3 linked regions of the Drosophila melanogaster genome follow. The protein of the gene in region 1 interacts with the protein of each later gene in a biochemical or structural test. Each region holds a gene or a part of one and is shown in the gene's direction. Other genes may lie near its edges.

Region 1 (11,486 bases):
ATGGCTAAAGCATGGCAGCGTAGATGCGGTTGCTGAACAAGATGTCTTAATGCCCATTCCACCTGAATTTGATAGCTTTAAGAACTATAGAGAGTGAGTTGTTGATAGTCTTCTAGTTTCTACACTATTTCAACCTTAAATTCATTTTCGCAGGATATTTGTGCCCTTGATGAAACTGGAGCTGCTTTCCACCATCGAAAGAGACTACAAAATTAACAATAAAAACACTTTTTCGGTCAGCTTAATAAACGTTGAAACGCAGGATATGTGCTACCGTTTGGTTACCAGAGGTAAGCATATTCAATACTTTTTACTACCAATTACTAATTTTCGGACGTTTTTTGCAGTCAATAGCAAACCATTCGGAAAATTCGTCCTTTATACCCTTTACTGTTGTGGCATGCTAAAAGAGACCTTTGCCAATCTGTTGGAGCTTAAGTTTGTCTCAGGTAAGTCATCAGCATATGTTAAGATAATTGTAAACATTCATCAATTAAATGCCTTGCTGACCTTTTTTTTAGGCAACGTATTCGACTTAACATTTGAGATCCTGAAACAAGATATATCCGAGGAGAAGCTCAAAAACATTAAGCAGTTGACTGCACGGCCAGTAGTGGACAGCTTAAGGGTGGAGCTTGGCGCTTTGAGTGCCGTCCATCAGCTCCGTAGCTCTCCGCTCTGCCGGCGGATCTTGAAGCCTACGCAAACAGTCAATGAGGTTTCACTCCCTAAACAGCCGTTTACGTTCAAGGGGTGCCACAAGTTAAATGAACATCAGGAGAACATTGTCCTGCATACCTATCAACGTATAATTGACGACTTACAACCGAGTCTCACTCTGATCCAGGGTCCCCCCGGGACCGGAAAGTCAAGAGTTATTTCGGAACTATGTCTGCAGACTTTGTACGGAAATGCTGCCAAAACGCTGGACCGCAAAATCTTGATATGTGCTCATTCCAATACAGCTGTAGATCATATTGTTGGGCTGCTAGGCTCAGTTTTGCGTGTGATGAACCGCGACCAATTCCACCTACTACGTTTTGGAATGCACGAGAAGATGAGCCACTACTCTCGTCCATTTTCGCTGGAGGCGCATTTCAACAAAGCCAAGGAGCAGAAGTTGCAGCGCGTTAGTAAAGAGAACGCTGAAATCCTAAAAAAGCAGCATAATGATCTTAAAGATGAGATTCAACAGCTGAAGGAGAAAACGAATCTCACGTCAACGTATCTCTTGCAACAGTTGCAACAGAAGGAAAAAAAACTGCAGCTGATAAGTAACCAACTGAGTCCGCCGCTGACGCAGCGCGAGGAGTTTGAAATCTCTCACATGTGCGTGACCAGGGCGAACATCATCTGCACAACGCTTTCCTCTTGTGTAAAACTGGCAAACTATGTAGATTTCTTTGACATATGCATCGTCGACGAGGCCACACAATGTACCGAGCCCTGGACTTTACTGCCAATGCGATTTGGATTAACGCATATGGTCTTGGTTGGCGACATGCAGCAACTTCCGGCTGTGGTGCTGTCCAAGAAGGCCATAGACTTTGGCCTTTCTAATTCAATGTTTGATCGCATTCAGCGAAGCCTGCAGACACAGCTTGATAAGCCGGGAAGTTATCACTTAATGCATACGAAACTATTTAAGCTGAGCACGCAGTACCGCATGCATCCAGAGATCTGTCGATGGCCAAACCAGTATTTCTACGAGGATCAGTTGATAAACGCCGAGTGTACTGCTCGTTTCGCCTCACCGCTCATTCCATACTGCGTTATTAATTTAAAATACACTTGCGACAGCAATGGCGCCCAAAACAAGAGTATCAGCAATAACGAGGAGGCTCGTTTTGTGGCCAAACTTCTGACAGAAATGGACAAACATATGCCCAGCAAGCGATTTAGCTATGGATTAATTTCGCCGTACCAAAACCAGTGTTACGCGCTAAGCCAGGTTATTCCCAGTCACATGAATATAACTCCTCAGACTGTGGACTCGTATCAAGGATTGGAAAAGGATGTGATAATAATTTCAAATGCCAGGACACGCGGCTGTGGCTTTCTAACGAACTATCAGCGACTTAATGTGGCGCTGACCAGACCGCGTCGTTGTCTAGTCATATGTGGCAATTTTGAAGATCTAAAAGTCAGTATCCAGATTTAATTGAAATAAAACATGTTTTTTATGAACTTTTCTTAATTTTGTAGTCTGTTGAAATGTGGCGCAACCTTCTCGATGATGCTCGCAAGAGGAAAGTTTACTTCAATTTGGACCGCGATGATGTGAACGACCTAGACCGTTCCTTAATCAAAAAGATGATGGTGAATACTATCAACTTAATTTAGGGGACACAACGTTCCCTATTAGTTAATGAGATTAAAACTACCTTTTAGATGCTAAGATATCACAAGTGCCATGGAAGAGAAGCGCTTCCCACATTGTTTAAAAAAAGGCTTTGTTATTTTTATATATATTTAACATAGAGACTGTAAGATTTAATATTGAAATCTTTGTACATTTAGTTCTTTAAAACGCCGACGAATTGCATTTTCGTTCTTAAATGCCGTACAGTATAACAGGATTTATAAGTAACCGATTATATATCATCTATGTACTTTTTGAGAAAGATTCACGGGTTGAGGATGTTGCACTATGCATGGCGTAGTGTATGACCGAATAAAAGTAAATAAATAAATATTGAAATGGTTAAATCAATTATTTAACGTCTGCATATTGCACTATTATATATAGAATTACAGCATTGCAAGAGTTTTCCTGGTATCTTGATCTCATAATTTCGTCCCTCAGGTATTTAACTAAAATGCGCTTTAATTATGCTAATCTCCAGATTCTGGCGTTGTCTGCCTGATCATCTCTAAGCTATAGTTATCGTAATTAAATTCACTAACAACACGCACACACACATAGTCGATATTAAATTCATAGTTATTCTGTTTGCCTTGCCTTGACGCCTTGTCACGAGGGCATTAAAATTAATGGAATCGCTTAACAATACGATTGCACTGTGTAGAGTTCTGCCAAATAAAACAATCGCAATAACTTAATGCAAGATAAAATAAAAACTAACTTAAGAATTTAACTAAAATGTAGCAACAAAATCTAACTAAGGACTAATAACATAACAAAAATTATGCCCGTAATTAACTTATTTTATGTGGCTGCTCAAACTGCCGGCCCGTTTGCTTACAGATATATATCAATGTATATATATAGAAATTTCTGCATTACATATAGAACGTACGACTCAGCAAACGTCTTGTCCGAATCTTACTGGTAACCGATCAAGTTTAGGTTAACATGTCGCCCAAGTTGTCCTTGAGGGACTGATAAATTTGGTATTGTTGATCTGGCTTAAGGTTGTAAATCTGTGTCAGCAGCTTAGCCGGCGACGGAGTTCTGATGAAGCTGGATATATAAACGTTAACGAAGGTCGCCATAAGAAACTGACAATCGAAACGATCCATAATGCCGCCATGTCCGGGTATCATGTCGCCAAAGTCCTGCAAAACAAGATGGTGTGTTGCGTTACATTGAAAAGACCTGTGTTCCGAAAAGATTACTTACCTTAATTTTGAAAGCTCTCTTAAATCCAGAGGCAAAGAAGCCACCAAAGGGTCCAATAATGGAACTAAACAGGCTCAGGGAGATCGAGTGCCAGATAAAGGGGTAAAGATTTAGAGTCTTGCCAATGCCAAACTGGAAATGAAAAAAATTATTACTGTAGCTATCAGCACAACAAATCGGTAACCCATAACTCCATAGAAATACATTATCACTTACCAATTTAAGGCTGTATTCCTGGGGCGTGAACAAATAGCTTGGCACACAGGACATTGTCATGCGTCCCTGTTCCTCCGAGTACTGGATGGGACAGATAAAGTACTGGTAGTTGCACAGCACATACGAGAACAGAATGCCAAAGAGGACGGTGGCGAAGCCACCCCCGATGAAGCCCTCCCAGGTCTTCTTGGGGCTGAGCTTGATGAGGGGAGTGCGCCCAAAGAAGAAACCGAACACGTACGCCATGACATCATTGCACACTATCATCGAAACAGGTACGATGAACCAAATGAGCCCCTCAAATATATTCTGTATGATGAGGTAACTCTGGGTGACGACAATCAGCAGGGATACATGGGTCCAGGCAAACAGGCTGAATTGTTTGATGTAATACTTCTTCACCAGTGAGAGCACGAACCAAACGAACCCGATGATGTACAGGGCGAAGGAAAGGAACCGGTGATAGGTCACCAGGAACTTCAGATATTCCTGTAGATGAAATTGCATATTTACCAGGCGATATAATCAGGTTATTGTATTATTTACTGACCACCCGATTAATTACAACGCCAAAGTAGTCTACCAGATTCTCTCCGTAAAAGAAGTAATTTGAGGTAAGCAGGAAATACCAGGAAAGGCTTCGGAACCAGGGCAAGCCATGAATTCGATAAACCTGGTAGCCAATCGAGATGATCTCCTGGAAGCACTTCACCTGCACCAGTAACGTCTGCAAAGAGAAAGTAGGACAACGATTATTTGAAGACTCGTTTAAGCGAATTCCATTAAACCTACCGTGATCATCAAGGCCAGCGGTCCACCATAGATGATCAATGCGAAGCCGCAGATCATAATCCATGTGAAGATGCCGCGAATCACCCAGTTCTTCCATCTGTGGAATGCGCAAAAAATAATTGTTTGTAATTGTACATATTTACTTTTAATATTTGCTCGCCAACTGTAGACAGCTGTGGATATGGATTATTTTTGGAACGCACTCATACTCATTCTGTCGGATTTATAAAATTCGCACTTCAATAAAATATTTTTTGAATCATCAATTCCAAATCGACCTTTAGCTATTCATCATGATCTTTAAAGATCCCAACTACGCATATGGATTTGTTTCACATACCTATCCGGCAGATCCTTGAGGGCCGAGTCCAATATCTCGGGCGTTTTGTCGGTTCCCTGCGGCAGATTCTTGGCCAGTTCGTCGACGAACTTCTCCTCGGGAATCTTCTCTTCCTCGGAGTCCACCTGGCAGGAGGAGGAGCAAGGGAAAGGGAAAATTCACTTATTGATTGCATTGGCTGGGACTGCAAAGTAGGTTTCCTATCAGATTCGATACGACCGGAGTGCAGGGTTTAAATACTTTCTATTGGACGACGCCGAGCAAAGTCCATGATACGTGTATGTATGTGCCTATATACCCATAATCAGAATCACTCGTTTATCCAATACACAGGCACATAAAATAGAGAGGGGAACCAAGTGGGGAGAAAAATTGCGGGTTTTTTTGGGTGGCGTGTTTTGTTGCCAAATAGCTTGGTTGATAAGGAGGCATTATCACCCAGCAATAACAAAAAAAGTCCAAGCCAGAAAGGGAGTCTGGTCATGGTAATGGTTTCGGCTCTGGGTTCTTGGCCCAGTGCTTCCCTAATTGGCGTAGTCCATCTAATTGGATTTGCTGGTCATAATGGCGCTATATTGCAACACAGCAGGTGGGTGGTTGGGTGGCAGGCAGGCTGGCTGGCTAGTGGTGTGTTTTGTGTTTGTTATTGGATTTTCTCCAGGAGAGAGCTCTCTCTTCTTTCTCCCACCTGCTTGTGCGTCAGAGAATAACAAAAACACATAGCCACACACATTTGTTGGTATACACACATTGGCTTTTCTATGCTCCAAGAATTATGCAAATTGGTGTCCGGAACAGCTGCCGCTCGGCTGCTCCACATACAAGTCATTGCTACTTACATGGTCCGAGGAGTCGGCGGCGGAGTTGCGCTTATTGGCTGCGTCAGATCCGGAGATGGCCGTGTCCTCCAGTGGCTCATCCTCGCCCTTCCTGCGTCGCACTTCGGCCATTATTCGATGTTCGCCAGATCTATTCACAATGTATTGATTCCTATTGATTCCGCTTGAGCAGTTCTCGTCCGTGTTCCGCTCTCCGCGTTTGCCGTTTGCCGTGACCCGTGCTGCGTGATCCGTATGTCGACTTCGTCCGAATTAAAATGCTTTTCTCTATTTCTGATTAGCCCAGCATGCAGTGTGCCCAGCTTGCGCAAAGTGGGCTGGTGGAGCAAAAGTGTTGGCAAGTATGCTCAATTGCTGTTAGGTTTTACAAGTTGACTTTTCGGACAGAAAATGTTTGATGTCTTTTAAAAGAACTTTCTTTTTCTGTGCAATTAACGGTGACTTTTGTCGTAATATGTAAAATAAAATATATTAATAATACTAGAAAAGTTAATTTAAGTGATAATAAGAGTCACCCATATCAGCCATCCCTGGTAGAGAATATCCGTAGCTTTATACGTTTCCCAACACCTGCACCGGCGGCGTCACTTTTCTCGGCTTTTCCGTATCGCAATTTTGCAATTTTCTCGCCAAAAATAAGAAAAAGGAAAACGTAAATTCAGAAAATGGCAGCAGCTATCAATGGTGTTTTCCCACCCACATTGCAGGAGCTGGTAAAGAAGTCCAAGGTGCTGGTCGTGGGCGCCGGCGGAATCGGCTGCGAGGTGCTCAAAAACCTTGTGCTTAGCGGCTTTACAGACATCGAAATTGTAAGTTTTTTCGAAAAAAGTATTCCATATTATTAATTTATAAACGTTACCCAGATCGATCTGGACACAATTGATCTTAGCAACTTGAACCGACAGTTCCTATTCCATCGCGAGCACGTTGGAAAATCTAAGGCACGGGTGGCTAGGGAAAGCGCACTGAGCTTCAATCCGGACGCTAAGATAACCGCTTACCACGACAGTGTAACATCGTAAGTTGGGATAGCTTTGCCTTTACATCTTGCTAACAACACATACCTTTTAGTACTGATTATGGCGTCAACTTCTTTAAGAAGTTCGATTTGGTGCTCAGCGCCTTGGACAACAGGGCCGCCAGGAATCATGTAAATCGCATGTGCCTCAATGCGGATGTCCCGCTGATCGAGAGCGGCACCGCCGGCTACAATGGCCAGGTGGAACTGATCAAGCGTGGACTCACCCAGTGCTACGAGTGCACTCCAAAAGACAAACAGCGAAGCTTCCCGGGCTGCACCATACGCAATACGCCCTCCGAACCGATTCACTGCATTGTCTGGGCCAAGCATCTCTTTAAGTGAGTATACCTAATAATTAGTCTAAATTGCAGCAAATCTATTGATTTATTTGCAGTCAACTGTTTGGTGAGTCCTTGGAAGATGAGGATATTTCTCCTGATGCTGCTGATCCCGATGCAAAAGAAAAAGACGGCGGCGATGGAAATGGCGAGCCCAAAGGCGATGGGAAGGAAAAAGGCGAAGAGTCAAAAGAGGAAAAGGAGGCCAAGGAGGATACTGCCAACGGCAACATAATGCGCATTAATACTCGCCAATGGGCCAAGGACTGCAACTATGATGCGGGCAAGCTGTTCAACAAGTTCTTTAACGAGGACATTACCTATTTGTTGCGTATGTCGAATTTGTGGAAGACCCGCAAGGCACCCGTGCCCGTGCAGTGGGATACCCTGCTGCCCGAAGGATCCTCCGGTGATCAGAAGGATGTGGCCAAGCAGCATCACAAGGTGTGGTCCATCGAGGAGTGCGCTCAGGTCTTTGCCAATTCATTAAAAGAGTTGAGCGCTAACTTCCTGAAACTCGAAGGCGACGATACTCTGGCTTGGGACAAGGACGACCAGCCAGCCATGGATTTCGTGGCGGCCTGCGCCAACGTGCGATCCCACATTTTCGACATTGAGCGAAAGTCAAGGTTCGAGATTAAGTCAATGGCGGGAAACATTATTCCTGCTATTGCCACCACAAATGCGATTACGGCGGGAATTTCCGTGATGCGGGCTTTCAAAGTGCTGGAGGCCAAGTGGGAGCAGTGCAAGGCCGTCTATGCCCGACTTAGACCAAATGCACGAAATCACTTCCTTGTACCGGACGCTTCTCTTCCTGGCCCCAATCCCAATTGCCATGTATGCGCCAGCGATCCGGCCATTACTCTCAAGATCGATACGAAGCGCATGCGTATAAAGGAGCTGCGTGACGAGGTCCTGGTTAAGACGCTCAACATGTTGAATCCGGATGTGACTGTGCAGAGCAATGGCTCCATTTTAATCTCCTCAGAGGAGGGCGAGACCGAATGCAATGACGGCAAGCTCCTAAGCGAATTAAACATTGTGGATGGTGTGATCCTCAAGTGCGACGACTTCTTCCAGAACTACGAGTTGAGTATTATCATTTCCCACTTCGATGCGGAGCGCGATGAAAACTTGTTCGAAGTCGTAGCAGATGCCTCACAGCTGAAGCCAAAGGATGAGGATCAGAAGGAGGCCGTGAAAGACAAGGAGGATGAACCGAAATCGGCTAAGAAGCGTTCTACCAACGGGGAAGGAGACTCAAAGGACGATGGACCCTCCACTTCGAAGCGCAGCCGGCCCAACGAAGTGGTTGAGGAAGATGACGATGACTGTCTGGTAATCGAGGAAGACGAAGACCAAGCAGATGTTGTTGTCGTGGCCACAGACAAGCTCTCTGTGCAGAGTCCCCCAAAATCGGGCTCCAAGCGCAAGCCATGTGAAGTAATCGAGGATGAGGATATCACCGAGATTTTGGAGTCGTCTGACGACGAACCCGCGGGACCAACCAAGTGCAAACGTTCCCGCCTGGACGATTCGAACCCCGTGGCAGTCATCAGTATCGATTAATAAAAAAAAGAAGTTTTTATTCGAATAAGTTCTCAACTGCGCACTAAATTATGCTCTTGATTCCCTGTAATTTCATTCTGATTTAAAATAAAAACACATTTTTGTGGATGATAAAATTTTTAAATTTTTGTGCTTTGAACGGGTTTGGTTTTGCTCTACTCGATTAAATTCAAATAATCCAGTGCGAGAAATGTAATTTTATTAAATAAAAGAAATATAAAATAACATTTAAAATTAGTCAAATTTTTAATTCGATAACTTTTTAACGCCAACCAGTGCTGCGAAGCACTGGAAGTCATTGTGCCTGTTATCGGTTTCTGACCAGTTCAATCCAAAACAGAAAAAGGTGAGCTGTTCTACAAATTTTCATTGTAAATCTCAATGAAAATGCAAATTTCAGATGTCCCTGGCTAGTAGAATACTGCAACAAGGTTCCCGCTTGTGGAATGGTCTCAGTGCCGCGCGTGGTTTCCACCTTCTCACCCGGCCGGCGGCTCCTGCAATTGTATCAATTCAAAGCTCGCAACTTGTGGCCGCCACAACTGGAATCTGTCAGACGTCGGGTCTGCTGACGCCTGGCTCCACTTTGGTCCAGCAGGTGGCGGGATTCAAGGTCAAGGGACGCCTGAAGCGACGCTGCAAGGACTGCTACATCGTGGTGCGCCAGGAGCGCGGTTATGTCATCTGCCCCACGCATCCACGCCACAAGCAGATGTCGATGAAGAAGCGCGACTACAAGTCGTGGATCCTGACGCACGCCACCCAATCCAAGGAGCGCGGCTATTAGACCTAATTAGGCATTAATAAAAGCATTTCTTTAAATATGTTCATAAATAAATAAAAGAAAAATAATCCAAGTAGTCCGTGATACGTTTCCTAACACTGTATCAGCTGATTGTTTGTTTATATCGCAGTCGTTTCTTGCCTGTTTTGCTTTTTACTGTATCCGACCGGAGTTCAGTACACCTGGCCGAAAAAGATGACGACGCACTTCAGCAATGTACTGCGGCAGGCATTCAAAACGTTCGACCGGGCAAATCACGCCAGCTTCAATGCGAATTTGCAGCATCTGCGTCAATTGACGGATGAGCTGACCTACCGGGATCTGCACCTCCGCGAGGAGCTCTTTCGCAACGTGGGAAGCCATCGGGCACCCTGCAGCTACATGCATATATTCGAGGATGATCGCTTCTCCATGAGCCTGTTTATAGTGCGCGGAGCGAGCACTATTCCCTTGCACGATCACCCCATGATGTTCGGTCTGCTGCGCTGCATCTGGGGTCAGCTAATGGTGGACAGCTTTTCGCACCAGTTAGGCCCGGATGAGCCGCTCACCTATGACCCCCATCAAACAGTGGTGAAGGTGAATGTCGAGGAACCCAAATTGGTCACGCCGGCTAGTCCGTGTGCCACATTGACTCCTAGAAAGAGAAATTACCACCAGATTGCCCAAATTGGTAGCGGCGTAGCCGCTTTCTTCGACATTCTTAGTCCGCCATACGATGCGGATATGCCAACATATGGACCGCGACAGTGTCGCTTCTATCGCGCCACGGCAGAGGGCAGCCAGGTGCAGCTGCACTGCATCCCATCACCGGATACATACTATTGCGATGTTGTGGACACGCCCGAATCGGTGATGCAGGCCGCTTTTCAGTGCGCCGACGAGGTCTATGCCGATAATGCCAGCGGGACACAGTGAGTCGTTATCTCGCTTCCCAGCAGCTAACACCCTCCTATTTATTTGCCCATAATCAACCGTTGGCTGATCGTATCAGCCAAGTATCTTCTGTGTTATTTAAATAAAATTGCCTCCTTTTTTTGTATAAATCGCTCCGCTTTCACGGAATTTGTTTGGGTTTAATCTTCTTGCGCTTGGTAAATGTTCTGATTGCGTCGCTTAAGTTTTTTCACATTGGGACTAGCGGGCACTGATGCAGGTTCCTCTACATGAGGCGTTTCCGTTGCTATAATTGCTTCTTCAGCTTCCTCCTCGGGCAGGTCTATCACGTTTTCATCGGTGGTATCAGCTGCTGCAGTTGTAGGTGCTGGCAGGGATAAGTTAAGTTTCCTTTTAGTTGGCGTAACCAATGGTTCAGCCACGTCTTCTTCCACCGCCTGCAGCTTAGAACTTTTTGTTTCCCTATCCTTGCATTCGGTAGCTCCCACCGCAGGCAGATCTAGGCCATTCGCCAACAAAACTAAGCACAGCGGATCGTCTATACCCAGAGTGGCACAGAACGTATTGCTCTGGGGGTTTAGTTGAACCTTGGGTTGATCCACAAACATGTGCTTATAATCAGACTGCTCCGCGGGATCGAAAGCTGGCACTGTGCGCTCAAAGTTCTCGGGGACTTGAAGTTTCTGAAACTTTGCGGTCACTGCTTCTAGTTCTTCTTCAGTGGGGGTAAAGTTTGATCGCTCTGTAAACTCTCCCGCCTTTTTTCCGGGCAGGTAATAATAATTCTCCTTCACTGAAATCAAGTGATTTGTACTGTGCAAGATGGCTAGCCACTCTGCGTCGTATTCCAGGCGGGGAGTGCCTTCGATGGGGTCACTGGGTACCTCTACCACTTGCAGGAAAGCACGACGTGGCAGGCATTTGTCGAGAGCCAGAAACTTGGTCACGGGAACAGATTTGGATGGTGGAGGTACAGGAGCAGCTTTCTTTACCTTCTCCCTTTCCTCGTCTTCATCTTCACTGCTGCTGCTGGAAGAGGAAGATTCAGCATCTCCTAGCTTCTGGCTGTGATTGTGCGGCACCAAAGCGGCAAACTTGCAATGC
Region 2 (9,656 bases), on another chromosome or scaffold:
CTAGAATCAAGACAGCTACCGCAATACTTTTCCAATCTCCTCCGCTCTAGGTTGCCTGTGTTGTGTGGTGGTGTGGCGTGTAAGTTGATTCCGGGCTAAGAAATTTTGTAAACCAAAACCTTTTCCGTAAGTTTGCCCCGGTAAGATTACGATATCCTCGCCTAACCGCCGTGGATCGGATGGATGAGTGAGTTAGTGTAAGGGAGCTTTCCTCTGTTTGGTACACATTGCGAACTGCTCCGATGGCCTGTGGCAATCTACTCCATTCATCCATTATGTCTGTAACCAATTTACCATTTCGATCTTTTCATGTACGTTGAGCTGATTGTTATCGTACTGAAGACGAATCCGCGGCGGAAACTCGCATAGAACAAACAGAAAACTGCGCAAAGGTTTGCTTTTGGTAACTGGTAACGATTGGTTGTGGTTGGTCAGGTCAGGGGTCTTTCGAGCTGGTTAGCCTCCACTTTGGATTGCGGACGGTGACAAAATTCTGGGGGTCTTTTATTTTTGTATTGTATTGTTTGGCAGACAGGATCCATGCAATTGCCTTTTCGTACCGTGCGACATACGGGAAACAAACTATTGTGTAGCAGGGCATTTTTCCTATTACACCATTATTAAGAAAAGCGGACAGAGATCAATGTCACATTTAGATTTGATCAAATAAAGAAAAGAATTCCTCCTTACACGAAAAAGTACTTGTTTCATTTCTAAGTATTTATCAAGATGACTTGAATTTTTTACAATTTTCGCTTGTTAAACTGGTCTATATGTCCTGGATAAGAAGATTTGCAGTGGCGTCCTTGGAATCTCTTTAAAAATGTATACATTTGTTGCAAATAAAGCATTGTGAAATCTATGGACATTAAATGCGACCTCTATTGGAAAACATTCACATATGTCGCAAATTATTATAAGCGGATATGATAGAAAATGTTAAAGTAAAAGGGACTAATTTCAAGGATGAAACATTGAATATCAATAGCAAGCATTTTTCATTCCAACCCGATAAGTACCTATGTACCCAGTTATATTACGAGTAATGGGTATCAGCTGATCGCTACCTTTGCTTCTAAAATGGCATACTGCGTATATCAATAGGCGACATATCGATATAATTGACTGCTATCTCAGCAACATAAAGAAACTGGAATATTCTAACTGTATTTTGCATGCGAATATAAACTTTAGCCGTAATCTTGTCGAATGCTACAAAAAACTACCCAGTAACTTATTATTCTGCCTTTCTTTAATTCGATTCCCTTTGCCATTGAGTACCCGATAGTTAAATATTTGTATGCTGCCCTGCGTACACTGGCCTACAAGCAACTCGAAAAATTCAATTATGTTCGCCGATAGTTAAATAATTTGATGTGGCCCTGCTCACATTGGCTAACAAGTAATGTGAATTAATTATGGGTATAGATATTGCTTGAATTGCAATTCTCATATCACTTTTTTTTTAATTTTCCGTAATATTCATCTTTACGAACCATCCCAATACTTATGCTTCTATTTAAATATTAACATTCATATTTATATTAAACATATATATTGACTCTCTAATATGCTTTAAATGCTATTTAAATCGATTGCGTGCTTAGCATTACATTTTTTAGTCCAATTGTTTGAATATTTTTTCTTTTCGGCATATATCAAAATTACTTGTTAGGAAAAACGTGACCGAAAACCGAAACAGTGACAATAATGGATGGTTGCTGGCGAATCTATCGACTACCTATCGTGTATCGATACACACCGATAGTATCGCAAAAGTTAACGAGGTAGGTCCAGCACCAGTTTTTTTGGCGTGTAGCTGTAGCAGAAGCAAAAGGAAGCCGCTTGTGATAAATTTCAACTTCCATCAGCAAGCACTGAATTTGAGGAAATCAGGTAAATTTTTGCATTTCTACGCGATTAGTTGCTGCCCCGCGGTATTGTGCTTAGTTTTTACGTGTGGTTTACCAATTTCCGCGTACTTAATTGGACATTTTGCCTCGTTTTTTTTCGTACAGCACGCCCGGCATTCGACGCTCCGCAAAAGAAAAAAAAAACTTTTTTGACCACTTAGCAGCTTCAACAAGCAACCAAAAAATCAACATGTCTGACGAAAAGAAGGGAGGTGAGACCGAGCACATCAACCTGAAGGTCCTCGGCCAGGACAACGCCGTCGTCCAGTTCAAGATCAAGAAGCACACACCCTTGAGGAAGCTGATGAACGCCTACTGCGACCGTGCCGGACTCTCCATGCAGGTGGTGCGCTTCCGTTTCGACGGACAGCCCATCAACGAGAACGACACTCCGACCTCGCTGGAGATGGAGGAGGGCGACACCATCGAGGTTTACCAGCAGCAGACTGGTGGCGCTCCATAAGATTACTTAGTTAAGTTAGTTACTCCTCTTACAACTACACACTTAAAACGAAAAAGAAAAAAATACAAGAAAAACCACAAAAGCAAAAACACAACAACAACAACATGAAGAATCCAACAAACCAGGCCCTAAGAATCGATTGAATATGCTTTTAGTACAACTGTAGATTCTAAATGCGTCTGTGTGCGTAAATAACAAAAACATTTGCAGACAAGAAAATGGTAAATAAAGCATTTTATAAACTACACAAAATTTGCCGTCTTTCGCTATTTATTCCTGCGCCTGATCGGCGTTTGTTTTTGCCCTTCTGCAACGAAAAGCCGGTGCGAATTTCCCGCTTTGTGACCCTCTTTCTAAACAGCACGCACACACACTGTCATTGGCATGGCACGTCTGTGTGCGAGCAGGACTGGGTCCAGTGCGCGTGTGTGCGTGCAAATTGATATACATACACATCGGAGAACACTGAATTTGCGGGAAAAGTACAAGCATACATATACGCCTGCGAATTTGCGAAGTCTGGGAAAACATAACCTCAAATTTGAACAAGAAAAAAAAATGACGTCAGTTTTGAGAACCTTCTGGAAATTACATAGAGGTAACTATAACCTCAAAATTGGGATCTAGTAATACGCTTGTGTGTTTGTGAAAGCCAAGCCATACATGATGATTGTGTATGTATACCATGTATACATACATACCATTCATGATGTATGTGCGTATGTGCTTAAATTTTCAAAGGTACAGTTGTGTAAAAAAAAACTATGATGAAAAATTAAAAAGTAGATATGTACGTATGCATACATGAAGTCATGTCGACAGGTCCTGTTATATTAGACCGGCTGTATATGTATATGTATATGTGTTCATTTTTAATATTGGTATTGGGTAAAAATTTCCGAAATTTTTCTTATAGATTTTTTGCTGTCTCACCATGACTCAGCACCATACATATATACTTTATATTGTAAAACATTTATTTTCCAGGCCCTTTAATTATGTATTGAGAAGCAAAGTAATGAGTCAAAGTCGAAGTCTATTGAGTTTGTTCATACTTTGTTGCATTTCATAGATGAATTTCATAACTCGTAATAAAATTAAAATTCATTAACATTATGTATTTAATTTTACTTGTTGAGTCCAATTTATAGTATTATTTGCCAATGTATACTGTATGTTGAATGGAATAAACTAGTTTTTCAAATATGGATAAATAGTTAGGAAACAATAACATTTTGTCATGTTTATTTGCAACAACAATTACAATATGTACACATTAAGTTTTAAATATAATGCAAAAGGCACCGGTTCCCTCTTAAGAACAATTAAAAATAGCTTAGACCCAATCCTTGGGGTTCTTCAGGACCTTCATCAGTTTGCCCTCCTCGGACTGGGACTTGGGCTCGTGCATGTACTCCCAGCGGGCGTGCAGGGGCAGGGACATCAGGATGCTCTCGTACCGGGCTCCAGGCGTGTATAGACCGAACTTGGTGCCACGATCGTAGATCAAATTGAACTCCACGTAGCGCCCGCGGCGCAGCAATTGCCACTGTCGTTCGTTGTTGCCATACTCCCGATTTTTGTGCTTTCGTACCAGCGGCACGTAGGAGGGAATCACGGCCCTGGCGCAGCTTGACACAAAGTTGAAGGCCGCCTCCTGGTTGGGCGAATCGATGTCGTCGAAAAAGATTCCGCCAATGCCGCGGCTCTCGTTGCGATGCTTGATGCGGAAGTAGTCGTCGCACCACTTCTTAAAGCGCGGGTAGTAGGTGGGATCGTGCTCATCGCAGGCGGACTTCAGCGTCTGGTGGAAGTGGGAGGCGTCCTTCTCGCAGAGGTAATAGGGCGTCAGATCCGTGCCGCCACCAAACCACCACTGCTTCTCCCCCTTGGCAGTTTCCACTTCAAAATAACGATAGTTGAAGTGAATGGTGGGGACATGGGGATTCCTCGGATGGATCACGGCACTCACACCGCTGGCAAAGAACGGCAACGAGGCGCCCTCCTTCAGATTCTTGCCGCGAGCCCGCATCTGTTGTACTGCAGCCGGGGGCAACGAACCGGTGACCACGGATATATTGACGCCTGCCTTCTCGAACACATCGCCATCCTGCAGGACGCAAGTGATGCCGCCTCCGCCCTCAGGCCGCTCCCACCGGTCCACCTTGAACTTCTGGCCACAGTTCTCCTCCGCCTCCAGGGCGCGGCAAAACTCCGCCTGGATCTCCATGATCAGGATCTCCATGCGATGACGCATGTTCTCCTTGTCCCCCAGCAGTGCCTTGGAGTCGGTGATGGGCTCGGCCATGAACCGCGAGGTGTTCATCTGCACCCCGTTGACCTTTGGGTCGACAGCCTCCGCGGAATGTGCGTACGTGACCGCCGAAAAGCTGGCCAGGCCCAATCCCGTGCCGAGGAGAAAGCCTCTGGCGTGCGGCCCCCTGGTCCGGCGCACCAGTTGAAAGGTGCCCAGCGATACCAGGGATATCGTGTGACGGAGTGCGTTCATTATGTGCTCTCGCCTACTTCAAATTTTTAACTTAACTTAAGTACTTTCGCCGAACGCAGTTTGTTTGTTATCTTTCACTGACCCGGCATTTCTAGTTGCATAGTCGCCGGTGTGACCGTGATATCACCAAAATATACCGAAAATAGGGGGCTCGCGATTTTGTTCTATTTACAGAGATACAAGAAGTTGTAACGTTCTTATAAAAATATTATATATTGTTAAGAACACTAGCTAGCTCAATATGTCTGTATATATACACAAAATAATAATAATAAATAATATATGTTAAAAGTTACGGAGCAGTACAATTGCTTTTAATGGTAGACATATTTGTCTTAATTTTATATTATTATTTGTTATAAGTGATATAACTCCGATGATGTATATGTGTAGTGTCCATTGGAATACCCCATTCAAAAATATAAGCGCAATACGGGCACTCTGTCGTGGCATTTGAAATAAACGACTGCAAAGGCGCGTCGATCGTTGGCAAATGAGCGTGCTGTGAAGAAATCCATGAAATATTTGCGTGTGCGCCTTGAAGATTAAGGAAGATCTGCGTGAATACTATTGCCAGAAGGTAGGTGATCGACTGGAGCGAACTCTAAATCCTCTGAACTATAGTCAACGCGCAATTATACGTGTTTATCCCGTCGACTGGAGTTTTGCACCCAGGACACACGCACACTCGCACACTCACGATGTCTGGCCTCAAGAAATTCCAAAACACTGAGGAATGGCGTCAGAAACTCCGTCAGTTTCTAATGACCGAGCGGTAAATACACATTGAAACCCATCCTTGGATAGTGTTGCACTAGTGTTCGATGAATTTGTAGTCATTTACTTTCAAACAAGCCACCTGCATGTCAAAATTGTTAGAGAAACAGTACGCATAAATAGTTTGGACAGTTTAGACACACATACAATTTAGTTGAGAAAACTAATAACAGTTTTCCTTTTTCAGCTTGCCGAAAAAGCCCGTGAAAATGGACGAAACGAAGGATATGCGCTATAGTTTGGAGATCGACGAGGATTTGAGGAGACCCTTGGAGGCGCGGGCCAAGAAAGTTCTGGCCGTTAATTCTGCCAGTCAAAGGACTGTTAATCTCGGCGAGGATACTATGTACGAGGCAGGTGACTTGGAGCACTTGGACGATGGCGATGATAGCTTCAGTGCCTTTGAGCGCATGTGCGACAAAACCGGTTCCGATCCGGATAGCACTCTTTTCCAGTACCTGCACAGCGAGGACCGGAGTCAGGTGATGGCCAGGGCTAGGGATCATAGCACCGACGATCAGAAAGAGATCGATGCACTGCGTCGCATGCTAGAGGCAGTGGGTACAGAAGACGATCTATTGGAGAACGAAAGTCCCGTCAAGGGGGCGGAGTGCACTCACCTGGAGGACATTGAGGCGCCGTCGCGCTTTTGGGACAACACCCTGGCCGGAATGGACGAGACCTCATCCGACTCTGGGCTGACTCCTAAAGCATTGACCAAGGTTTCGCCTGTCAAAATGGTGGGGCTGCTTCGCCCCTCAACCATCATCGAAGACAGCGAACTGGAGTCGTCTGATGTGTCTTCACACACAAGCTTCCAAAGCGCTCGCACCCTAAAGACAAATGCATCTAGTTCTTACGAAACAGCCACGGATACTTCCCTCAGTGGAACGCTCCTAAACGTCGACGAATTGTTTTACGCCGCAATTGCCAAGGCCAAGCCACCAGGAATGTCCAAGGGAGAGGAGCTGGAGCTCTTAAGCGATCTTCATGGCAGTCTTAGAGAGCTGGCCTCACTTCCGAAGGATGAGGTCGAGGAGGAAGAGGACGATATAGAGGATACAATAATCGAGCTATCCTCTTCTGACGATGAAGAAGTGCAGCTAGTTCCAGAAGTAAAACAAGAAGACACGTCCCGTGTGTCCTCAGTCCACGGAAAAGATCACACTGAGCAGAAACCAGCGGAGAAGAGCGTTGAAAATAAGGAAAATTCGTTGCATTTCAATGATACCATGGAAGAAATGGAGTACATGATGCAAAAGGGTATGGAGTACATGGCAGGTGGGGCTCCTTCAGTCGCCGCAGTCAAGGCAGATTGCCCTGTGCTGCCCAAGACCAAACAAAGCACGTTCGTTGTTTCACCGAAGCCGGAACCAAAATCACCGGCTGTAGCCTTTTTGCAGCCATCAATTCCGCTGCGGTCATCTAATCAGCCACAAACAGTTGTAGGTTCATCTAGCACGGGTAGAAAGCCGCTCAATGTCGGCCTCACCATGGAGTGGACCAAAAAGAAATTTTTCAGTGCAGCCTCTGGTATTCCTCAGCGTCGCCAAAATCAGATAAAGCAGCCATACGCCAACATAGTCAGTCCCATACGCACCTACACCCAGAAGTCTGGTACTGCTCCGCTAATGAGTACATTCCGTCCAACGAGTTCTGATATGCTATCTACACTGGCCATCAGTGAGTTGGAGCAGGAGTCTCGCTTGTGTCATCCTAAAGCACTTTTCGCAACAAAGGACGAAACACCCAAGTCCAGTGAAGCGGAATCTTTAATTATCAATGGAATCGATTCAGCCGCTGATCTGCTTCCCAAAAAGGCTTACATATCTTCCGAAATCAAGCATGTAAGTTTAAATTTATATATAAGCCATGATGAGTGAACGTAAACTAATACCTTCCATTGAACAGGTGGTTGATGAACGAACTCCTTTGCCCATGCCGAAGGTACCTCAAATTCAAAAATACCTCAACTCCGCCGTGGAGCCTACTGTTATGCGCCACGATGGCAAAATGAAAATGCCCGGCGAGGCAGTCCGCAATCCGTCGTCTTCGCATATCCCACGACGCGCCAATCACAGCCTGGCTGATCTGTCGCTCGCCTCAGGCGACGTGTCCTTATACACAATAAGAGATGCCCAAAAGTTTTAAGGCCCATAAAAGTACTTCACGCTCCTTGACTAAATATTGCAACGATAATAAATGTATTGTGTAACTAGTGCTAGTAAATGCCTTCGTTTTCGTTTGATAGTATCAATGCTTGCATCATCACTTAACTCGCGCCTGCGGTCCCTTCCACGCTCGATTAACCTTGGACTCTGAGGTTCTGCCCAGTTCGGTGCAGATGTACCGCCCCACTTGGATCAGTTTGTCTAGGTTGACGCCAGTATCGAGGCCCATGCCGTGCAGTAAGTAGACCACATCCTCGGTGGCTGCGTTGCCTGACGCCCCCTTGGCGTAAGGACATCCGCCCAAGCCAGAAACGGAAGAGTCCACCACCCGAATGCCATAGTCCAGTGAGACCAGTATGTTGCTCAGAGCCTGACCATAAGTGTCGTGGCAGTGCACGGCCAGATCTTTAGCCGGGACGACCTTGGTCACCTCATCCAGCATTCGGCGCATTGTGCCTGGAGTGCCCACACCAATGGTGTCGCCCAATGAGATCTCATAGCAGCCCATTTGGTACAGGGCTTCCACCACTTTGACGACAGCACTCGGCGCAACAGCACCCTCGTACGGGCAGCCAACCACGGTGGAAACGTAGCCCCGGACGCGCACACCATGCTTTTGGGCTGCTTTCAGCACAGGTTTAAATCGTTCGATGGCCTCAGCTGCCGTGCAATTAACGTTCTTCAGCGAAAACGCATCAGATGCGGCTCCAAAGACTGCCACCTCCTCGGCTCCCGCCTCCAGAGCACTCTCGAATCCCTTCAGATTAGGCGTGAGGACTGGATAGCTTATACCAGTCACTTTGCGGATTCCTTTCAGCACTTCGGCATTGTCGCCCATCTGTGGCACCCATTTGGCGCTCACAAAGCTGGTGGCTTCTATGGTTCGCAGTCCTGTTTCGGACAATTGGTTGATCAGCTCGATCTTGGTGGCTGCCGGCAGGAGTTTGGGCTCGTTTTGAAGACCATCCCGCGGTCCAACCTCCACAATTCGCACCTGATTGGCCGCGCTTGTAACCGCCGTGCGCTGTTAGTTTTAAAATTATTAAAATATTGTCAAGTGCGTTCGATTTTCCGTGAAATTACCTTTGCTGTAAGTGCAAGGATAGAGCGAATTGGTGCACTTATCATTGCTAAATTTGTAAATAAACGTTACGTATTCCGCTTCTTCTTTTTTCGCTGATAACAGCTGATAATGATCCAAGATCGATATGTTGCTAAATTTCGATAACTGTTTTGCTTAATGAGCTGCCATCTCTAGCGCAGAGGCGTAAACACATTTTTTGTATACAAACGGGTATTTGGTGCTAATTCTTTGTAATGGAAATAGCAGAGATATCTGCAGAAGATGAGGATGTGTTTCACTTTGAGACCGAGCACCTGGCCCTGCGTGGCAACCAGTGCTATACCAATTTGCTGCGCACTTTGGCCGTGCTGCAGGCACAAAGGATTCGGGTGCATCAGCAGATTGAGGAATTGGAAGCCACACAAAATATCTACTTGGAGAATCCGCAACATATGCTGGACAAACTGCGAAACAACGAGCCTTTGATAGCGGATAATTACATCACCACGACCGTTCTACCGGACTTGCCAACTCTGTCGCCCAATGACGAGGAAGGGGGCACAAATGAGACACCGACCGATGCGTCTTCATGGACGCAAGAGGCGAACAAGAATCGGGACAGGAGCAATGGACGGTCGGAGAATTTCAATCGCTTGTGGACCAACGAAGAGCAGAGTCGCTTGGAGCAGCTGCTCATCCAGTATCCGCCAGAGGAAGTGGAAATGCGCAGATTCGGGAAGATAGCGAAGGCCTTGGGCAA
Region 3 (10,520 bases), on another chromosome or scaffold:
AGTCCGGTGATCAACTCGCTGATGCCCGCCGCCGTGCCGAAGGTGCCCTTCCACATCCTGTTCACTAAGGGGGAGGGCAAGCACAAGGAAGACATCGTTAACTACAAGTTCTCCACGCACGACATTGTCTGCCTGGTGATCTCCTCGGCGATCGGAGTGTGGTACCTGCTCAAGAAGCACTGGATCGCCAACAATCTGTTCGGTCTGGCCTTCGCCATCAACGGCGTGGAGATGCTGCACCTGAACAACTTCGTCACGGGCGTCATCTTGCTGAGCGGCCTGTTCTTCTACGACATCTTCTGGGTATTCGGCACCAACGTGATGGTCACCGTGGCCAAGAGCTTCGAGGCGCCCATCAAGCTAGTGTTCCCCCAGGACCTGATCGAGAACGGCCTGAACGCCTCGAACTTCGCAATGCTGGGACTAGGCGACATCGTTATTCCGGGCATCTTCATCGCTCTGCTGCTGCGCTTCGACGACAGCAAGAAGCGCAAGACGCGCATCTACTTCTACTCCACGCTGATTGCCTACTTCCTTGGCCTGCTGGCCACCATCTTCGTGATGCATGTGTTCAAGCATGCGCAGCCGGCTCTGCTCTACCTGGTGCCAGCCTGCATGGGCACGCCCCTCCTGGTGGCCCTCATCCGCGGCGAGCTGAAGGTGCTCTTTGCGTAAGTGTGGACTGCGCTGGGCGCTCGACTTGAAACTAAACTAACTCATTCTCGCCCCCACTGCAGCTATGAAGATCATCCCGAGGAGAAGCCCGAAAAGAAGGAGAAGAAGGAGAAGGACGAGGGCGTCAGCTCGTCCGGCAGCAAAAAGAAGGAGTCGAAAAAGGGCAAGTAGAGCCGGGAGGACGCAACATCCGAACAACATCCCCACTCGTTCCATCGTAAATGTCTTCTGCAGCTAGCCAAGCTCCCTTTCGTTTCGATATGGCTTCTCCATCTACCGCAGTCCATAGCTCATATGGACTAACACCGCTACAAAAGACGATTCACTTACTGAGTTAGTTATGTACGTTCCTTGGCCAGGCACAACAATCTTATTTAGTTCGGTTAGGTTACAATTGTAGAAAATGTTCCCTCGACTTTTTTACCGCAATCAATTTAAATATGTATTTCAAATATTTCTGTGGCTCCGCACAGGAGGCTTATATGTTTAAGAACAGTTTAGATACAAATATATTCCAATTTTTGTAAACAGTGCAATTTTGACTACGAATTCTACATTGCATTTCTTAAAACTAATGCAGTAATTTGTGTAAACAGTAATGCGAATAAATTTTAATTCTAACGTTTAATTAAACTAGTTTTGTATTGAGTAGAGGGTTTTTAGGAATGTAACGGCTTAAGAGAAAAACCTAATACATTTTAAGTTGAGCTTACCAAAATCCAAAGAATTTTTAAATTTAAAACATAATACAAAAGTGCTTTGAAAAAGTCAGTATTTTAATACCACTGTTTATCCACGGCCACACTAAATATCGATAACCGCATAGTGAGACCCTTTGTGTAGAAAAACTTATACCTTTAGCGAGCACAAGCGTTCATTCCTGAAAAATTGCGGTAAAAATTGCGAAAAGCGCGAGTTCCCCCCGCGATTGCAAATAATTAATTTGCTTGGAACCACTGGAGACGCAAGGACGAACAGAGAGGTAGGTGCTCTTGCACTTAGCGCGCCAAAAGGCGACAAAGCCCCTCGTAGGCCACTTACCCACACACACACATTCGCAGACAGACGCGCGTGCAAAAAAGGCCAAGTGGGACTGCTAGCGGAAATCCAGGACTCGAGGACACGTTCGGGCGGCAGTAGAGAAGCGAGCAAGCAGCGACGACCATGTCCGGCATTGCTATTACACGATTGGGGGAGGAGCGCAAGGCCTGGCGCAAGGATCACCCATTCGGGTTCGTCGCACGACCCGCCAAGAACCCTGACGGCACCCTCAACCTGATGATCTGGGAGTGCGCCATTCCCGGCAAGAAGTCCACCCCCTGGGAGGGCGGGCTCTACAAGCTGCGCATGATCTTCAAGGACGACTACCCCACCTCGCCGCCCAAGTGCAAGTTCGAACCGCCGCTGTTCCACCCGAACGTCTATCCCTCGGGCACTGTTTGCCTGTCGCTGCTGGACGAGGAGAAGGACTGGCGCCCCGCCATCACCATCAAGCAAATCCTGCTGGGCATCCAGGACCTGCTCAACGAGCCGAACATCAAGGACCCAGCCCAGGCGGAGGCCTACACCATCTACTGCCAGAACCGACTGGAGTACGAGAAGCGCGTGCGTGCCCAGGCCCGCGCCATGGCGGCCACTGAGTAGTCGGGCTCCTGCCAACCACCTTTACCACATAGACATTAACAAATACACACATCTAGCCGGTAAGCGTTTGTTTGGAATGCTCTCCACGTCTACTTACTTTTAAAGAATCGACTAATTTTGGATAGCCCCCGCGGCCCGAAGCATCTAATTTTTTAATGTTCTGCACTTGCTTAATTACCAGCATGTACCATCTGAATAAATACAAATAAGTCCTGTAATTTTTCGATGAGGCCCAAAGTGGCCACGTGGCACCCAGAATTCGACGCTCTTTTCAGCTTCCATTCTGGGTGCAGGTGCCGATTATTCTACGGGCTATTTTGTATCGCGAGTACTACGTACAAACCTATGTAATTTCAATAAAAATTTATTAGTTGTAAAAGCTTATGCATTTTAAAGCGGAAAGGATTTCCCAGCAAATGTGCAGTCGAGCACTTGTTGGTCGTCAGTAGCCGTACAGCTGGATTTAGTGCTTGAATTATTCCATATAAAGTTCTTCCTTTTGCTTATTATTTAAGTAACATGACTATTTTTAAATTTAAGCATTTTATTTAAAAACTTGTTCAGTCCATTTTTACCTTTATATTTTATTTGATTTTTAGGCATTTGAAGCTGGTCACATTTCCCAACTATTTCAGCTGATCTGGCAAGTCCGCCAACATTACTATGCATAATTTTTGGCTGATCTGGTAGCATTCGCTGCTGATATAGCAATGCTTCCAGCTAACGGTTCATTTCCAACGAGGCCGCCATATTGAAAAATGCCCAGTTAAAACACCTACTGAGATTTGTGTTCGCCTGGTACTTCAGTCTGGGGAATCCGGCATACTGACAGCTGAATTTATTATTTTTCCCGAGGATGCTCATATATTTCGAACTGAATTACCAGGGAAGCATAAGCGTGGAAAGGTGTTTTTAAAACAACCGCCAGGATTCCCAAAGTCTTGGTTTTGGTGGGCATGCTCTATTCTGAGTACCAGGCGAACAGAACTTCTAGTAGGCTACCAACGATCAGCTGATCTATCTGATGCCTGGTCTAATCTAACGGTTCTTTTATTAGGGATGCCACAATATTTTTCTATTGATCCGGTAATATGTCCGATGTTTGACAATATTTTAATCAATCTGGCAACTATGTCGTCATAACATTTTTCGCTAATCTGGCAGCACTCAAATCGTTCGTTGAATTCAAAAATGTAAAATGTCGTTTAGTTACTAATTTCACTATATTTTATATTGAATAAATTAATTACTTTTATTGTCGCACACACTTAATAAATAATGTACTCATTTAAATTACACAGTTAGAATTGCTCGCTTTATGGGGAACAGCGAGTAATTTACATTATAGTATTGGATCTACATTGGAATACTTCGCCTCCTTCTACTCCGCAGACCATTGCAAACTTGTAGTTTCTCGCCCTCAATTTAATTTCTGTCTAAGTGGTAAGCTTTGGCATGCATTATATGTCATGGTTCCCACTTAATGGGTATGCGCCTAAATTAATGTACCTAAGTATCTATGTGTTATTCCTTTAGGTGTACTGTATATGTACGGGAGTACGATGTATATATCTACTTCTATCGATCGGTAAGTCGAAGGAGTCAGTCCCCAAATGGAGTTGGAAGTGGAGGGCAGCGACGGGAGATTTTCCGGGAATACTGTCGTCGATGGTTGGTTGCGGTTTGGATAGTGTACATTTTTAAAGGAGGCTAGGATTCGATTAGTTTCGATTGGGTTGGGCTGCTGCTTAGAAGCACGTGTAATACCACTCAAGCTGCTTGCGCTGCGCCTCCCACCGCAGCTGGCTTTCTCAAATGGCCGCCTCCTGCAGGTTTTCCTTGTTCTTCTGCTGGCCGTGTCCGCCGACCAGGCCGCCAATGCCCAGGCCCACGGCAACGCCTCCGCCCAGGTGATTCGGACTGGGGCTGTCGCTGGCCTCGGGGCGAATGGGCTTGTTTTTGCAGTAGAACTGCTTGTGAGCCAGGTAGGTCTTCACGTAATTGAAGGATATGTCACAGGTTGAGCAGTACTTCTTCATCACCTCGGCGGCGGCAGCTGCTGCGGCAGCCACGCTGCTGCTGTTTCCCAGCGGAGAAGTCATCGGCGGAACCAGCCCGCCGGGCGCAGCATCCGCTCCGACTTCGATTGGCTCAGCCTTAATATGTGGCGTGGCGATCGGGGAGTTGTTGTTCTCGTGCACCAGATTCACAGTCGGTGGTGGATCCAGAGGCTCCGATTTAATGTGGAAACTGTGGACGAGGAAGTTAGAGAAGATATAGTAATAAGAATGTAGATAATTTCCTGTCATCCTTACCTGGGTGCTTCACCGTTGGATACATCGGAATTCGAGTGTTGGTTGGTAGTGGGGTTGGAAGTCACATCTTGATCTCTGGTGTCGGGGGAAATGGAGGGAGAGTTGATGGCCACATGGGGATGCATCAGCTTCATGTGGCGCAGCTGTAAGGAAAAAGCTATAGTGAGTTCTTTGGTCTGGCAGCAATAAAAAGGAGTACGCACCACATTGCCCTTGTAGGTGGAGACATAGTTGCAGTAATCACAGTTGAACATCTGCGAGGGATGATCCATGGAATCGTGTCCAGTTGTGGTAGATGCCCCTGTTGGAGTAACCAGTTCCTGACTCAGCGCGCTAGCATCCTCTTCAAAGATGCAGGTCATGTATAGCTCCTCGTTTACGTCGCTAGTCTTCTTGTCGAAATGGGTTCGAATGTGGGTGCGCATGCCGCGAAGAGTGTTCCCCTTGTACTGGCAGATGCTGCAGCGGTATGCCTTTACTGTTCCGTGCATCTCCATGTGTTTCTTGGCCAGTGCTGCTGTGGGACTCACTACCCCGCAAACAGGACACTTGTTCAGACTATTGGTGGCGGGTTGCGGATTGACTGTCGGCGCTGCGAGAGGATTCGCAACGGGTGGTGGACAAGGCAGACCAATTTCATGCAATGTCTTGCACTTTCCGCACTTCTCCTTTGGCATGCCCAGTTGGCCAGGATCCGTGGGCGTCGCGGCAGGGGCAGCAACTGCTCCTCCCTTGGGGCAATAGTAGTTCTGATGGGCTCGCAGGTTGTCCAGGGAAGTGTACTTAATTCCGCAGGCGGCGCAGATCAACTGTTGATATGCCACCGGTGTGGTTTCCACCGACGAAGCAGCCTCTGCAGCTCCGGCTCCCAGTCCTCCTGCTCCAGCGATGGATGGTGAAACGGCCGACTTGACATCCACTTCACTCGCACCTTCTTGGCTTCTTGCCGAGCAATAATGCTGTTTGTGTGCCAAGTAGTTCTCATACTTGCAAAACACAATATTGCACTCCATGCACTTGGACACGCCCTTTTTCACATAGATCTGAGGCTGCTGGGCGCCACCTGCCGATCCTCCACTACCCGGATTCCCACTACTAGTTTGGGCAGGAAGAGAAGCGGGCGGGAAGGCTGCTGCTCCACTACTGCCCGCCACAGCAGCTGCGGCCGCTGCCGCCGCCAGTTTCAGAGCCAGTTCCGGGTTGGTTTTGGCCAACAGCGACTCGGAGAGTCCAAAGTCCGCAGGTAGCATGGAGCGCATGTCGAGCAGATGGGGAACAGCCACATTGAGACCAGGTGGTGACATGGAGGAGGCGCTACCAGCCCCGGAACTGCGTGGACTGATGGCTCGTCTTTTGGGCGAGGGACTCATCGAAGGACTGCTCGGCAGGGAGGGAGCGCAAACGATTTGCTCGGGAGTCACACTTCCACCTCCTCTCGGAGTCTCAACGTTCTCCTTGCCGGTTCCTACGCCGGCAAGGAGTACTTCTTCCACATCTAAGAGAGCATTCCGCAGTTGGCGCTGACGCAAGCTCAGTGAATTCAGGGTGATTGGCGATCGACGCAGCGAGAGATCGAGAGGCGCAGATTCTCTGAAGGTAGTAAAAAAGAGTATGCGTTATTCAGTGGTTTTCATCATCAGGGGAGTCTAGCCATAGTAATAACTTTTATCTGATGCGTGAATCACAAATATTTAGGAACTAACCTAGTTAACCCTGCCTCTTTTCGCTTGGGCTCCGGAGGACTACTCTTGGCTTCTGTGGCCTCAGCAGCAGATGATGGAGCTGAAGGGCGTTCGGGTTCTAAGGTGGCGCCAACTAGGGCAGTGGCCAGTGGTTTAATCGTTCCGTTGTCCACGGTAAAACAGGTGGTTTCAGGATTCACGATTCCCGAGTTCGGCGTGGGCCTGCACATAAAAATGTAATAGTTCAGTCAAATACCTAATTATTTTATATACATTGTTTCAAAGCCATCCTCAAACGCAACTGGATGCAATTTAGGGATTTTTCTCCTGGGAACTTACAGTGGGCCTGGAATAAAGCTAGCTGCACGGATCAGCGAGCAGGGCACAATTATGATCGGGTGGGTGGGCAGTGCCAGGAAAGGTGGATGCGAATGCGGCGTGGCCTGGAGGGAGGCAGCGGCAGCCGCTGCTGCAGCTGCGACGGCGACCATTGCGGGAGTCGGAGTCTTGTTCCTTGCCTGCGGACTCAGCTTGCCGGGCGTAGCCGCCTGGGCTGATACTCCTATGGATCCGCCTGCGGAACCCGGTCCGGAACCTGCTCCCGGAGAGGCGTCTGGCTTGGGCGTGAGCTGTCCCTCTGGTCGCCGCGAACTGCAGTAGTGTTGTTTGTGCGCTCGATAGGTCTTGATGTTGTTGAACCGGATATCACAGTGGCTGCAGTAGCGATCGGTTTGCTGTGGAGGGGATTTGTTTATCATTAGCTTGCGACTCCAGGGGCAACTGGCACCTCAACACTTTACTCACTTGACTAGAGCTATCCTCCATCGGATTGGGCGTAACTCCCGGCGGCGCTATTCCGTTCTGGAGAAGACTTGGCAAGCCGGCCAGTGTGGGAGCTGCTGGCGAAGTCTGGTGCATGCGCATGTGGCGATTTAGGGATACCTTCTTATCCGCGCTGTAGGAGCACTGGGTGCAGCCATATTGCTTTCCTGTCCTGGCCATTTTGGCTGGTGGCTCGGTGGAGCCTCCGGTCAACCCTGCTGCATCGCCAGCTGTGGCTCCCGATCCTCCTGCCCCTGACTTATCACTGCCAGCCTCGTCCGTGTCCTTAATTCTATGAGAGCAATAGTAGGCTTGATGGGCCTCCAGAGTTGAGGGCGAACTGAATGCAATCCCACAGGGCAGGCACATAAATCTGGCTGGTTTTAGCAGAGGTTCTGCTACCTCCGGTTGCGCTTGCGTGTCCGGCTTGACGAGCGGCGGAGGAGCCAGGAGACGAGAGTCCGGCAGGGTCAGCTCCTTGGCATCTGGCTTAAGGGCAGGATCTGAGGCCAGGAGCGCATTCAGACGCACTTTGGGGTACTTGGGCGTGGGACATGGTGAGGGTGAGGGGCACGGAGAGGCTTCTGGCTCCGAGGGCGGCGTAGCGGGCTGTTCCAGCTTGGGAATCAGCTGGGGAGAGCTGGGACTCCTGGGCGGAGTGCTTGGGCTGTTTGCAGGCAGTTCCTGCTGAAGATCCTCCTGCTGAAGATCGTGTTCCTGTTCCATCTCTGTCTCTCCCAAATCCTGATCCTGTTGGGGATTGGCCTTTTCTGGCTCCTCGAACTCAGCATCTTCATCAGCGTCGTCATCGATATTGTTATTGTTGTTTTGGGGGTCTCTGGAATCGTTCAACTGATCCTCCAACTGGTCCTCCATTTGCTGCTGCTTCTGCTCGCCTATATCCTGAGCACTCAGATCTTTGGAATCTGCAAAGAATTAGAACAAATATATCAATATTAGTTATTATCCATAAGTAGAATAAAGAACGACTTAAACTAAATGTGTACAAATGGATTTTATACACAATTTTTATCTCAAGCAAGAATGAGAATTTGCTTCGGGGTCAGACAGTTACATGGCAGTTTAGTGCCTCAAATTGGCTTCGCGGAATCCGCAACAGCGGCATCCTATCTCTTGCATCCGCTGCCCATGAGGAATCTATGTGTCAGACAGCTGGTTTGGCAATTATTATCGAACAAATTGTCAGTGGTCAGAGCTGTGAAAACAATGCGACAGCAGTCGGTTGCATAGGCTGCATAGGCTGCATAGGAGGAGCAGCAGGGGCAGTTTATCCACTGTGGCCATCTCTTACGTGGAAAACGCTGGTGGAAATGGAAGGAGATGGGCAGGGGAAAAGAAAAGCCCATGGTGGTCACTGATGATTAGGCCCCGCGGATCGCTGCAAAAGTTCGAAGTTGGCCAGAATCCCGAACTGACATCTGATTTGTTTCTGTTTTGGCCACGGCGAAATATTATAACGACCAACGGCGATGCTGGCCGAGATTATGGCGGCGGACAGTGGAAGTGGACGTGGACATGGCACACACATGGCATGCAGATGGAGTCGCCGGATAAGCGTCGCAGTTTGCAGTTTGCATCTCGCTTCGCCAGAAATTCGACATCTCGACCGGAGCGAACATTTACCCTGCTCGTGCGGGCTCCAGCTCCCAAATGTCCCCCTTCTGGAGTCCTCCCTCGTCCATGGATTTCCTTTGAGGATGGGAGACTGGAGAGGATGCGCGTTGACCTGTCAATTGATGGCTATTGAAATGTCAGCACATCCAGAGCGACTCCGACAAGTAGAGAAAACAAGAGAGACTTATACACAGAAAATCGTTTAGTAGTTAGTTTTAAAGTCATTCATTTCCCGAATAAGCCCATGAGAGAAACATTTGATATATTCGTATTATTAGACGAAACAGCAATGTTTTGAAAGCAATCCCAAATTTCTCGCTGTGCAGACCAAGTTTGTTGCCTGAGTCTTTTGACTGCTGCTGTTTGTGATGCCGCTGCCGCTGCCGCTGCCACTGCCACTGCAACAAATGTTGCAACTGTTGCCAAACTATTGACGGCCCGCCCTAATTGCCGCCGTCGATTTTTCACGAATTCACACAATTCTGCACGTGAGCAATCGGTTAGAAGAATCGCTTCACCCTGCCCCTCCAAAAATAAAGGGCTCTGCTGGCATTCCGAGGCATTCTGCTTATTTGTAAGATATTTATTGCCTTCGATTGGGTGGCGATAAGCCGCACACGTAAAGTGTTTTGTCCGGGCTGAAGAGGCCTCCGCGAGGAGAAGGGCAGGGAGATGGCCGAGCGCCGATAGAGTGCGAACGGGAGACTAACAGCTAACAATGGCTTTTGGCTGGGTCTCGGCTGTAGCTCTGACTTGGGTGCCCAGCTCTTGGCTCGGAGTCCCTAGCTCTGCCCCCAGCGACAGCTGCCTCTGCCGCCGAGGATTAGACCGGGCCGGGATCTCTCAGCGCGGCGGTTCACCAGTTGGTGGAGCAGATCTCCACCAGCGATTGTTTCGCGAGTGCCATCCCAACACCCTTTCCTCTTTTCCATTGTTGTGCGGATTCGGTTCTGAGCACCAAAACCTATTGCAAACCTTCAGATTAGGCGGTTTCAAATGGAGAAATACACATAGTTATTTCGATTTCTCAAACCAAACGAATCTATTTGAAATGTGTATGGCTTTTTATATTATTTCAACAATATTATATTAAAAATACTATTTTAGTATGAAAGACCTTTCACAGTTGTATGCCCAAGTGTACGGAATTTCAAGGCTACGCATTCGCATTCGCATACGAAATCGATTTGGGATCTGGGAACAAGCCGTCTTCGCTGAAATTGCGATCGGGCGATCGTTTGTTTAGCCATTTCGTAACGTTACGCCGCCCCACACACCTTTTGTGTGGATGGCGAGGGGGGATTCCCCGGGCATCTCCGCGCATCTCCCCTCCCTGCGGCCAACGCCAACAATTGTTTATCAATTTGTTAAATCAGCTCGCCGCCGTCTTCAGCGTCAGGTCTCTCTACTCTTCTCTTCTCTTCTTCTTGCTGGAGCTGCGATCGATCCTCGCCGATAAGCGACACAACAAAAACATACAGGGAGGAGAGGTGAGGGAAGGTGGTGCATGTGGGCCGGGGATACCTGGCACTTTATCAGCCGCCAGATGATTGTTGCTGGTTTCTCACTTGGCAACTTCACTCGGTGGGCGTTGTTGGCAGCCATAAACAATCGAACAATTTGGCCCAGGTCCCGATCTCGGCCAGGAAAAGAGATGGAGGGGAGCCAAATGAAGGAGCAGATCCCCAGGATCGACCCTTTGTTCATTTGTCGCTGGCTTTCAACCCGCGGACCGCCGTCGCTGCTA

The links.
Region 2: of the proteins of Uba2 (region 1) and Sumo, one has a biochemical effect on the other in vitro, tested with the Drosophila melanogaster proteins (one study listed by BioGRID).
Region 3: of the proteins of Uba2 (region 1) and lwr, one has a biochemical effect on the other in vitro, tested with the Drosophila melanogaster proteins (one study listed by BioGRID).

The regions. Positions count from the first base shown.
Region 1 is NT_037436.4:8,122,654-8,134,139, reverse strand, and holds Uba2 (Ubiquitin-like activating enzyme 2), read left to right. Parts: upstream 1-6,321; 5' UTR 6,322-6,435; coding exon 6,436-6,579; intron 6,580-6,633; coding exon 6,634-6,788; intron 6,789-6,841; coding exon 6,842-7,129; intron 7,130-7,185; coding exon 7,186-8,701; 3' UTR 8,702-8,813; downstream 8,814-11,486. Other genes in the region: Setx (senataxin), read left to right, coding at 1-93, 154-290, 348-449, 522-2,143, 2,206-2,343; Cds (CDP-diacylglycerol synthase), read right to left, coding at 3,307-3,519, 3,584-3,715, 3,800-4,288, 4,350-4,526, 4,592-4,688, 4,932-5,056, 5,771-5,881; mRpL36 (mitochondrial ribosomal protein L36), read left to right, coding at 9,102-9,488; CG7550 (uncharacterized protein), read left to right, coding at 9,681-10,403; ldbr (lariat debranching enzyme), read right to left, coding at 10,562-11,486.
Region 2 is NT_033779.5:6,959,748-6,969,403, reverse strand, and holds Sumo (small ubiquitin like modifier), read left to right. Parts: upstream 1-1,759; 5' UTR 1,760-1,896; intron 1,897-2,018; 5' UTR 2,019-2,103; coding exon 2,104-2,376; 3' UTR 2,377-2,624; downstream 2,625-9,656. Other genes in the region: Coprox (coproporphyrinogen oxidase), read right to left, coding at 3,713-4,885; sip2 (septin interacting protein 2), read left to right, coding at 5,587-5,660, 5,850-7,509, 7,574-7,813; Hmgcl (3-Hydroxymethyl-3-methylglutaryl-CoA lyase), read right to left, coding at 7,931-8,857, 8,917-8,961; Atac1 (Ada2a-containing complex component 1), read left to right, coding at 9,151-9,656.
Region 3 is NT_033779.5:533,567-544,086, reverse strand, and holds lwr (lesswright), read left to right. Parts: upstream 1-1,506; 5' UTR 1,507-1,657; intron 1,658-1,707; exon of another isoform or gene 1,708-1,736; 5' UTR 1,737-1,839; coding exon 1,840-2,319; 3' UTR 2,320-2,378; exon of another isoform or gene 2,379-2,850; intron 2,851-2,918; 3' UTR 2,919-3,488; downstream 3,489-10,520. Other genes in the region: Spp (signal peptide peptidase), read left to right, coding at 1-671, 738-846; ush (u-shaped), read right to left, coding at 4,131-4,569, 4,635-4,777, 4,838-6,224, 6,338-6,538, 6,656-7,050, 7,121-8,064.